Drosophila melanogaster: one gene and its partner. The protein of the gene in region 2 interacts with the protein of the main gene of each other region in a pairwise test. Each region holds a gene or a part of one and is shown on either strand. Other genes may lie near its edges.

Evidence for each region.
Region 1: the proteins of repo (region 2) and CG18262 interact in a two-hybrid assay, tested with the Drosophila melanogaster proteins (one large-scale study listed by BioGRID).

The regions. Positions count from the first base shown.
Region 1 is NC_004354.4:8,150,836-8,155,191, reverse strand, and holds CG18262 (uncharacterized protein), read right to left. Parts: upstream 2,245-4,356; 5' UTR 2,149-2,244; coding exon 739-2,148; 3' UTR 659-738; downstream 1-658. Other genes in the region: Gbeta5 (G protein beta subunit 5), read left to right, coding at 3,049-4,125.
Region 2 is NT_033777.3:18,234,573-18,240,400, forward strand, and holds repo (reversed polarity), read left to right. Parts: upstream 1-1,619; 5' UTR 1,620-1,924; coding exon 1,925-2,847; intron 2,848-3,262; coding exon 3,263-4,178; 3' UTR 4,179-5,030; downstream 5,031-5,828. Other genes in the region: CG7156 (uncharacterized protein), read right to left, coding at 5,320-5,538, 5,598-5,828.

The DNA of each region.
Region 1 (4,356 bases), on a different chromosome or scaffold from region 2:
GGTCTATAATTGGAAAACTTAGTTGGTCTTGGGTTTACCCGTGATACCTTATCAATGCATTTTCAGTGCTTAATTAATCTTTAGTTTTCAAAACATTCTCGTCAATTTGATTGATTTTAACTATATTTGTAACTGAGTACGTCCATTTGGCAGAAATGTCAGCCCTATTTTAAACTAGTTTACTTAATATTGCATCTAGAATTATGCTAGGTTTTAATTCTTCAGTTTATCGCTTCGAAAAACTAGTAATGAGTGAACCGACCAGCGCATAGAATATAAAATATGTACCTTTTTTGAAAACAACGAAGGGGCGGGAATATATTTTTTTAACCTTTAACGCAAAAGCCTCCGTTTATGATCATCAATTTCGTTTGGAAAAAAAAAAAAAAAAACAACAAAGGCTGTATGTATTATTTTATCCCAATACTTAACTTAGTCCATAGCGATACGAACTACATGTTTAGAGCTAAGAATCCCGGGTAGAATGCACACGCTGGCAAGGATTAGAGCCCAGACTCATCTGGACTTGGATCGCTGACAGCTTGGAACCCTCTCCGTTTAGGAAACCCCAATAAAGGACACTTTTGTACCGCAAATCAATCGTTTTATGCATCTGCCTTCTGGTTTCTTACGATTATTAATTCATTTCCAATCTTCTGATTTCTCTCATTTATTATGGCGCAATTTGGAACTTATAGATGAACTACATCTAACCTTATATTAATCCTAGCTAGCTACTCAGTTGGCCAGGCGCCAAGTGGTGGGTGCAGTCTCGGTTTGCTTTACCAGCTGCTCCTCCACATTGAGGTCGATGGCCATGGTGATGGTGGTGGTGGGCGGACTCTTGCCCTCGATCACCTCGATGGTGACCGATTGCGGCAGCGGCTTCACAGCTCCCTTAACTCTCGCCGGATCATGGCTGCGCATGTGGGCATTTAGACCGCCGGACTGGGCGAACGTCTTGCCGCACAATTTGCACGCGTACTTGCGCTGCTCAGAGTGGAGCAGCTTGTGCACCCGCAGCGCCTTCTTCCGTTGAAACGTGGAGCCGCAAACGTCGCAGACGAAGGGCCGCAAATTGGTATGCGATACAGCATGGACATTGAGGTCATGAAAGCTATAGAATGCCTTGCCGCACACCTCGCATTTGGCCGGCCTTTCGCCCGTATGGCGACGCATATGCGCCGTGAGAACGCCTCGATCTCGGCAAGGTCGTCCGCACACCTCGCAGATGCAGGGCATGCGACCAGTATGGCAGATACTGTGCGAGGAGAGCTCCTTTTGCGTGTAAAAGGTCGCGTCGCATTCCGGACACTTGTGCGGCTTGATGCCACTGTGTCGCTGGCGGTGGCGCATCATGTTGCCCGACTGGGTGAAGGGTTTGCCGCAAATGTCGCAGAAGATTCCCGTGTGCTTCCAGCGATGGCCGCGCAGATCGCGTTCGGTGCGAAATGTCTGGTTGCAGGCTTCCTCGTTGCATTTGTACACCTTCGGCGGACCTTTCCGCTTCTTGCTATTGCGTTCACTGGCGGATTTGTCCAGACTTCCGCCGTTGGCTTCGCTGTGCTTTAGGCGGCGATGGCTCTGCAGGCTGCGTTTGGTGTTGTACGCCCGGTCGCACTGATCGCATTGGAAGAGCATGTCCTTCGTGTCGTTGCTGTCCTTCGTGTCATCATCATCCGATTCCCCCTCCTCCTCCTCGTGAGTTTCATTATGCTCCGACTGCTCGCCGCCCGTCCAGTCGAGTTCGATGTCCAGCAAATCCTCGCGAGTCTCCACCAGGGTGTTCTTCATGGCCGCTGCACGCTGGTAATGCTGGCGTTTGGAACCTTCCTCCTTCTCCTCCTCCTCCTCCTCTAAGTCCGGGCTAGCTTCCTTTGCCAGTTCCTCATGTAGCTCCTCATTTCCCTGTACTTCGACGACGTCCTGGGCAATGGGATCGCTTTCCAGTTCGTTGGAACACAGCGAGCTGGAGCTGTTCGTGAAGTGTTTCAGCCGGAAGTGTTCCGGGTAGCCGTCCAACGGCAAACGCTGGTCGCACAGCAAGCAGCTCACTTCGTAGGAGGCGGGTGCACTGAATAAGACCTCGCCGCAACGCAGATTGTGGTAGCCACCGGCCACATCCGGCGGTGGCTGCACCTTGATCATCGCGGCTTGCTCCCTGGTCTGCCTGTGTGGAAGTGGCGGTCAACTGGCTCCGGATTAGCAGAGGATTCCAGCCGTTGGCGTCGCTTTTTTGTAAGTGTTTGTTTCAAGGGGGTGGGGAAGGGTGGTTTTCCCCAGCTGATGGTAGTGTTGGCTAACGAACCGCAGTGTTGAGCTTACCTTGGTTGTGGCGCCACATTTGAAATGGTATTTACTCCGATAAGTTCGTTATCACAAGTAGTTTCTAGTCATAACTTGGCGGAAAATCATCATGCAGCTTAAAGAATAACTGTTTTGAACAGCCAATTATCACTACTAACGAACCCTATCACTTTTGGGCGGGCATAGAAAAATTTATTTTTGTGTCATATTTTTCATGTTTTTTAAGGGGTAACATTAAATTAAAATTTGCAAAAAAATGGAAAAATTTTGAATTCGCAAATTTGAATGCAATTCGATTGGAAATTTCATTACGAGTTCAACGAGATATGACATACCATATTTGGTCAATTATTTTCAAAGTTCTGGGCAAAAAACTGATTATTTTATGAGGGAAATTCGGAAAACCGGCTTTTAACAAAAACAGAACAAAAATTTAACAAATTTTGACGCCAATTTTCATCAATACCTTGTCATATTGATGAAAATTAATAATAATAACATCGTCACAATCTTTTATCAAGTTCTCCGAAAATAAAGGATATGTAACGGTACATTCTGCCATTTACCAACGGTAAAACTTATCGATAACCGACCGCGCCTATCGCTGTGTATTCGGATTTTCGTATTCGAGTATACACTTTTTTTCGGATTGATTTTTCGCTGTCCAATTGGAGAAGTTCGAACGGGATAGGACACACAATCCCCGAGAGATATCCATAGAAGCGCCATCTCAGAGCAACCATGTCGGAGGCGGCGGTGCCAGCGAGCAATGCGAACGCGAATGCCACTGAAAAGATGGCCAGTTTGGTGCGAGAGGCGGAGAATTTGAAGACCAAACTGGAGGAGGAGCGCCAGAAGCTGAACGACGTCAATCTGTCGAACATCGCAGAGCGGCTGGAGCAGATCGCCTATGTGAACATCAAGCCGCGTAAGGTGCTCAAGGGCCACCAGGCGAAGGTCCTGTGCACCGACTGGAGTCCCGACAAGCGTCACATCATCTCCTCGTCGCAGGACGGACGTCTGATCATCTGGGATGCGTTCACCACGAACAAGGAGCACGCCGTCACCATGCCCACCACCTGGATTATGGCCTGTGCCTACGCGCCGTCGGGCAATTTTGTGGCCTGCGGCGGACTAGACAATAAGGTCACCGTGTATCCGATAACCTCCGATGAGGAGATGGCCGCCAAGAAGCGCACAGTGGGCACCCACACCAGCTACATGTCGTGCTGCATCTATCCGAATTCCGATCAGCAAATCCTCACGGGCAGTGGCGATTCCACATGCGCTTTGTGGGACGTGGAATCGGGCCAGCTACTGCAAAGCTTCCACGGACATTCCGGCGATGTAATGGCCATCGATTTGGCTCCCAACGAAACGGGCAACACCTTTGTCTCGGGCAGTTGCGATCGCATGGCCTTCATCTGGGACATGCGCTCTGGTCATGTCGTTCAGTCCTTCGAGGGTCATCAATCGGATGTGAATAGCGTTAAGTTCCATCCTTGCGGAGATGCCATAGCCACTGGATCGGATGACAGCAGCTGCCGGCTGTACGATATGCGAGCGGATCGCGAGGTGGCCGTGTTCGCCAAGGAGAGCATCATCTTTGGCGTCAATTCGGTGGACTTTTCGGTCAGTGGAAGATTACTGTTTGCTGGCTACAACGATTACACCGTCAACTTGTGGGACACGCTGAAATCGGAAAGGGTCTGCCTGCTGTACGGGCACGAGAACAAGGTGTCCTGCGTCCAGGTCTCGCCCGATGGCACCGCTCTATCCACCGGCAGTTGGGACTACACCATACGGGTGTGGGCCTAAGCCATGTGGCACCTTATTGTTGGGGGATGCATTTGTCCAGGACAGATGCCGTCTCGCTTTGTTTTCCCTCTCTTCTGATTTGTTTTTTTTTTTTTTTTTTGTGTTGTGCATCGCATCTCTAGGATAGTTAAGTTACGGATTCGGTGATCCCCCAAGTGTGTACATATGTCTCATGTCGGGATTGCCAGCATGGATGTCTTGGTTACCGCAGTGTTATGCTTACTACCAGCT
Region 2 (5,828 bases):
TTCAAATTGGATTGATGATGATTTGTCCATTGAATATGTTAGAAATATTTTCATATGGGTTTTTTAAGTAAATATCTAAATAAGTAACTCTTAAAGATCACCGATCCCAATGAATGTATAGCTCTACCCACTTTCACCCTCTTCGATTGCAATGCCCACATGATTCGGCAGCCTTCTTCCCACTTCCCATTCAAATGCTCCGTGAAATCTTCGGATCTGTCCAAATGAGCCATAACTTAGCCCCTGACTAAGTGCCCACCTCGGCGCGATCGAAGTACCAGCATCTGGCCAAAAGGTCACACGCAACAGCGGACTGGAGGAAAGGGGAGCATGCCAATCCTTGAGAGGGTGACACGCGCTGTGGGAAGATCGAGCGATCAGGGTGTGGAAACGGGCTGAAGTGGAAGAAGAAGGTCACAAGCGTGCCACCAAGTCGCTGCCTTACAGGGGTTGCAACCTCGAATGGAACCACCCTCATGAGTCCAATTGGAACCACGACCATCGGAATTCCTCGGCTAGAAGTTAATTGTTCGTCCAACATGTGTGACGATGAAGGTGCATTGTTACGGATAGCGATGACCATGAGGTGGACGCGAAATAGATGGGCTCTCTCAACTTTGGGCGAAATTAATCTGTATCAATGGATTGCCAACAAGAAGCCGCTAAATTGGGATTGTACATACATAAGTGCATATGGAAATATAGTGGATGTTAAAAACCCCCCTTTTTAGGTTTTATCTGTGATACGATCTTTAGAACGATTAGAAAGCAGCATAGTAATTTTCATCTCTTCGCCAAAATTGAATGCTTTAATATGGCTATAACTATTCCCACTAGTTTGATAAACGGTTCTGAAATCGAAAACATTTGAAAAGATAGTATAGTATATATACCAGACATAAACTTAATCCTTCAAATCGTTCAACATTCTTCTTATTTCGGCCCCCAATCTTATAGATACCTTATCTCCATATATCGAATCATAGATCATACCATAGATTATCTTCTGTACCATACATTATTATTAATAGGTATGCGATAGTTTGTAACTGCATGGTAACAGAACACAATCAGTTCATTTATATGATATCTCCTAATATGACTATGCTTTCATGATTCTATATCCTCATTATAAATAAAACATAATTCAATAGTAGGATAACAATAAGATCAGCGTGCCATTAGAGTCCTTAAATCCGCTCTAAGAACTGAGAGCCAGTAGAGATGCAAGTCCCGGTTCCCAGGACCCCATCATCCCGTCGTGCTCTTCCGTTCCCAGAACATCTCGATCTGCTGGTAGCCGTGTGCCCGCGAAGCTGAAGACCAAAAACTGGACCCAGGCAGCTAGACCCAGTCAAAAATAAAAAAACAGAAAAAAGAAGAAAAAATCGCAAAGTAGGGGAGACCACACCCCGCTGAATGGAAAATCGTCGAATCGCTGGGCAAGCGGAAAAGTCACACACGCCAGCATGAAACGCACAGAGCGGCGTTCGCATGCGCCGTCCCGCTCGCACGGCGATAGTGGCGGCCGATGGAGCGATGCGATTGGTCGCTGCCAGCGCTGCTGCTGCGCTGCCGCCTGCGCCGGTATAAAAGGACAATCATCGCCAGTAGCCGAGTCAATTAAGGCCAAAGACTCGAGCGGTGAGCGTGCGGCTCTACTCCCATATATACATATATATATATATATATATTCAACATCCTAACCGATAGAAAAGTAGCAACAGCAGCCCAGTTATGTGCTTGCCAAATGCAATTAACAACTGATTGATTTGGAAACTCAGCAGCGATAATCGAGTTGAAAATCAACCAAATAATACACTAAATGGATTGAAAGTGTCGCAGTGGCAAAAGTGTTGTTAGCTAGTTAGTGTGTCTTGTGTGCTGTTACTGTGCGTTCCAAGGATTAAAGTCGTGGAGGAGAATGGAACACGATAGCTTCGATGATCCCATTTTCGGGGAGTTCGGCGGCGGGCCACTCAATCCACTGGGCGCCAAGCCACTGATGCCCACCACAACGGCCATGCATCCCGTGATGCTGGGCAGTGTCCACGAGTTGTGCAGCCAACAGCAGCAGCAGCAGCAGCAGCAACGATTGCCCGACTGCAACACCATACTGCCGAATGGCGGAGGAGGAGGAGCAGGATCTGGCGGCGCTGGAGGATCGCCCAACTATGTGACCAAGCTGGATTTTGTCAACAAGATGGGCTGCTACTCGCCCAGCCAGAAGTACGAGTACATTAGTGCGCCGCAAAAACTGGTGGAGCAGCAGCAGCAGCAGCAGCATCATCATCAACATCATCAGCACTACACGGCCACGCCCCCGCCCAGCCACAATGGCATCCTGCTGCACAAGCAATCCTCCCAGCAGCAACAGCAGCAGCAGCAACAGCTGGTGGGCATCCTGGACTATCATCCGCTCAATGGCAAGCTGGACTACTCCTCGTCGCCCAAAGATCAGTACGAGCCGCAGCAGCTGCAGCATCTGTACGGCGGCAGTCCGCATCATCTGGACCATTTGGATCATGGCAGTGATGGCTTGCTCCAGGACTCCTCGCCCGTCATGATCAACGGAGGATCCGCTGGTGGCAAGCTAAAGAAGCCCGATGAGATGTGTTCGCAGTTGGAGGCGGGTGGTGCTGGAGTTACTCCGCCAAGTAGTTCCTCCACGGTGGTTAATGGCACCACCAATGGCACTGGCAACGCCAACTCCTCCTCCTCCGCTGGCGTCGGCATTCAGGGGGCGGCGGGCACAGCGGGGGGCGTGGCAGCTCCTGCAGCCAAAAAGGACGGAAGCAGCAGCAAGAAGAAGGGCGATCCCAATGGCATCAAGAAGAAGAAGACGAGGTAAGCGGTCGAAGCTGCTACGCTGTCAATTAATTTAACGACGGGAAATCAATGAAATTATGTGGCACAAGATGATAGCACTTGCTATTTATGACCGTGACCACGGGGCGTATGAGTAATTTGGAGTAAGGACATTGCTAGCAACTCGCACGGAAACCCGTGCAATCTGGGGGGCTAATTATTAAATAATGAGTACCGATAGCAGATAGATAGATCCACAGAACATGGTTATCTCTATAGAATTTTCTAATATTCTAAAATATAGTTTCAGTTTAGAACTTTTTTGTAATATAAATAGATACTATGGGTTTTTTCATTTTTCCCTTTTTTTAATCCCTATTATATGACCAACTAACTGTATGAATCCCATTCAGACTTTCATCTAATCCTCTATACTTTCCATTTTTACCTTCAGAACCACCTTTACTGCCTACCAGCTGGAGGAGTTGGAGCGTGCCTTTGAACGTGCTCCGTATCCGGATGTTTTCGCCCGCGAGGAGCTGGCCATCAAGCTGAATCTGAGCGAATCCCGTGTGCAGGTGTGGTTCCAGAACCGACGGGCCAAGTGGCGCAAGCACGAGCCACCGCGCAAGACGGGCTACATCAAGACGAGCACTCCGCCGACGGCGACACTGAATCCCGGAACCCTAGCCCCACCATTCACTAGCTACCCGCAGACGACGACGGTCACGCCGCCGGGCAGCATGGACAGCTGGACCAGCTACCAGACGCCCTACGAACTGACGCCCCAGTTCAGCCTGCTCTCGCCGGCGGCCAGTCCGTATGGCACCTATTCCGGCCAGTACGGTGCCTATGTGCACGAAAGCCAGCTCTTCCCGATGCGTCACTACGAGTACGGTAGTCCCACGCGCATGGAAATGGGCGCCACAACCGGTTCGGTGGCCGGAAACGGAGATGAGTCGGTGGCCAATGGCGGCAGCTATCAGACGGCGGAACTGCAGACCGCCCAGCAGCAGCAACTGGCCGACGGCACACTGGTCACCGTCCATGCCCACCAACAGCAGCAGCAGCAGCAGCAGCAACTCAATGGCAAGTACCTGAGCGCCGAGGAGGCCAAATACGTGCACCTGCAGTGCCATCAGAGTGGAGGTGGTCTGGAGCTAAGTCCCGGCGCCAGCTGTCATCTGGTGGAGGCGCAGGGCCAGCACTATGTGACCACGGCGACGGGAGGAGCTGCATCCGCGGGCGGCACCAGCAGCGATGACAACGACAGCGGCGGCATGCAGACTGTGATCAAGAGCGAGGAGGTCTCCCAACAGCAGCAGCAGCAGCAGGGACAGAGCTACGTCCTGCCGCCTTTTTTGCACTGAGAGAAATGCTCACACACCGGCGACAGCAACAACACCAGCGACGCTGGGCCACGCCCATCAGCACGCCGAACGCCCGTTTCCGTCGGCCATTTTGAAGGGATGGAGGCGTGGCGTGTGCAGCATTTCCAACTGTGTTTCTCCGACTGAAAGTGGGGCTCCAGAAAAGCGGATTCCCAAAGATAAAGCCTCATAAGTAGTAGAATTCATCATCGGATTACTTAAAACTAGTTGCTTTCAAAAAATTTGGCGAGAGTCCACAAATTTTATATTTAATTTGATAATATTGTTTTTTTAGTTTATATTTCCAATCCCTTGGAGTTTTTCTAGCCAGTCCCACACAGTTTCTAGCCACTGTTTTCATATTGCCATAGGTTCCTTTTAGGTTTAATGACGCAAGTTGCAACAACAACGGAATCCACAAGTCTTGCCAAATCATAATGAGGTTATTATGCCTGTCTAAGTCTAGGTTAATCTAGGGCTAGGGGCTCTGCAACGAGAGCCCCGCCCCCAGAATGCATTCCAAATGTGCCTTACCAAAACGGGTGACGAGTGACCTCCCTCCAAATTGGAAAGCTTCGTTGCCCAACAAACTTAGTTTTAGTTATTCTACTCGTAGACTAAGTTCCATTTGCTGTTTTTGCTGTAGTTAGACAATAAAGTGCTTTTTATATTGTATACTAGCTCATTTGGCTTTACAAATTTTATTACTTACTAATTTTGTAAAATGGCTTGCAAATTTTGTTACAACTACATTCAATTTAGTTTAATTTCTAATTGTAAGCAATTACATAAACTAGGACACTTTGCAAATGTATATAATAGACGTATAAATAAATCGTATTTTGTACCAATAATTGATCAGCTTCCAATTCAAAAAAGGAACAACATAAAAGACTCATAAAAACAAAACTGATGGTTAATACACTTGTTTTCGAAGACAAGTATTAAAAGTAATGCATAGAAAATAATATAGCAGATTCACAACATAATTAATCGCTATGGAGCGACTTCAGATTCTTTGAAAGTAATCAAAATCAATGCCAATCAGAACTGAGCAAGGAATCACAAATGGGATTTCAGGTACAGTACGAAATAAGAAAATACTTTACGGACTCAATAGCAAAGCAAATAGTGCCTATTTTCACATGGACTCAGTTCCCTGCTCCAAAACCGCCTGCCAATCGATGCCTTTGAAGAATGGATGAGCCTGCAATTGGTCGTAGTCCAAACGTAGCTCCGGAGAAAGCTGCAGCAGTTGCTCCAGCAGATCCTTGGCATGATCGGAAATCTCCAACGACTCACTAGGATACTGAACACAACCATAGAGGTCCAGTTGCCCGGGATGCGTGACTTTGTAGGGCTGGAAAGAAAGCAGATTGCTATTATCCAAACATTTTCAATCGAGAACTCAAAACTTACAACTCCCAGCAGAAGCTGATAGAGCACCACGCCGTAGCTCCACCAGTCCGAGCGAAAAGTGAGCGGTCTTTCTGGTGCCACAAAGTGATTAGCCACTGCCTCCAAGTTCAGTGCCTTGTGCACATAGTTGTCGTCCGAGGTTAGACCCTCGTTCTGATAGAAATACGTCAGGAGCAGCTGTCCCTTGGCGCCCAGTAAAATGTTGCCCATGTGCAGATCGCGCAGAATAAC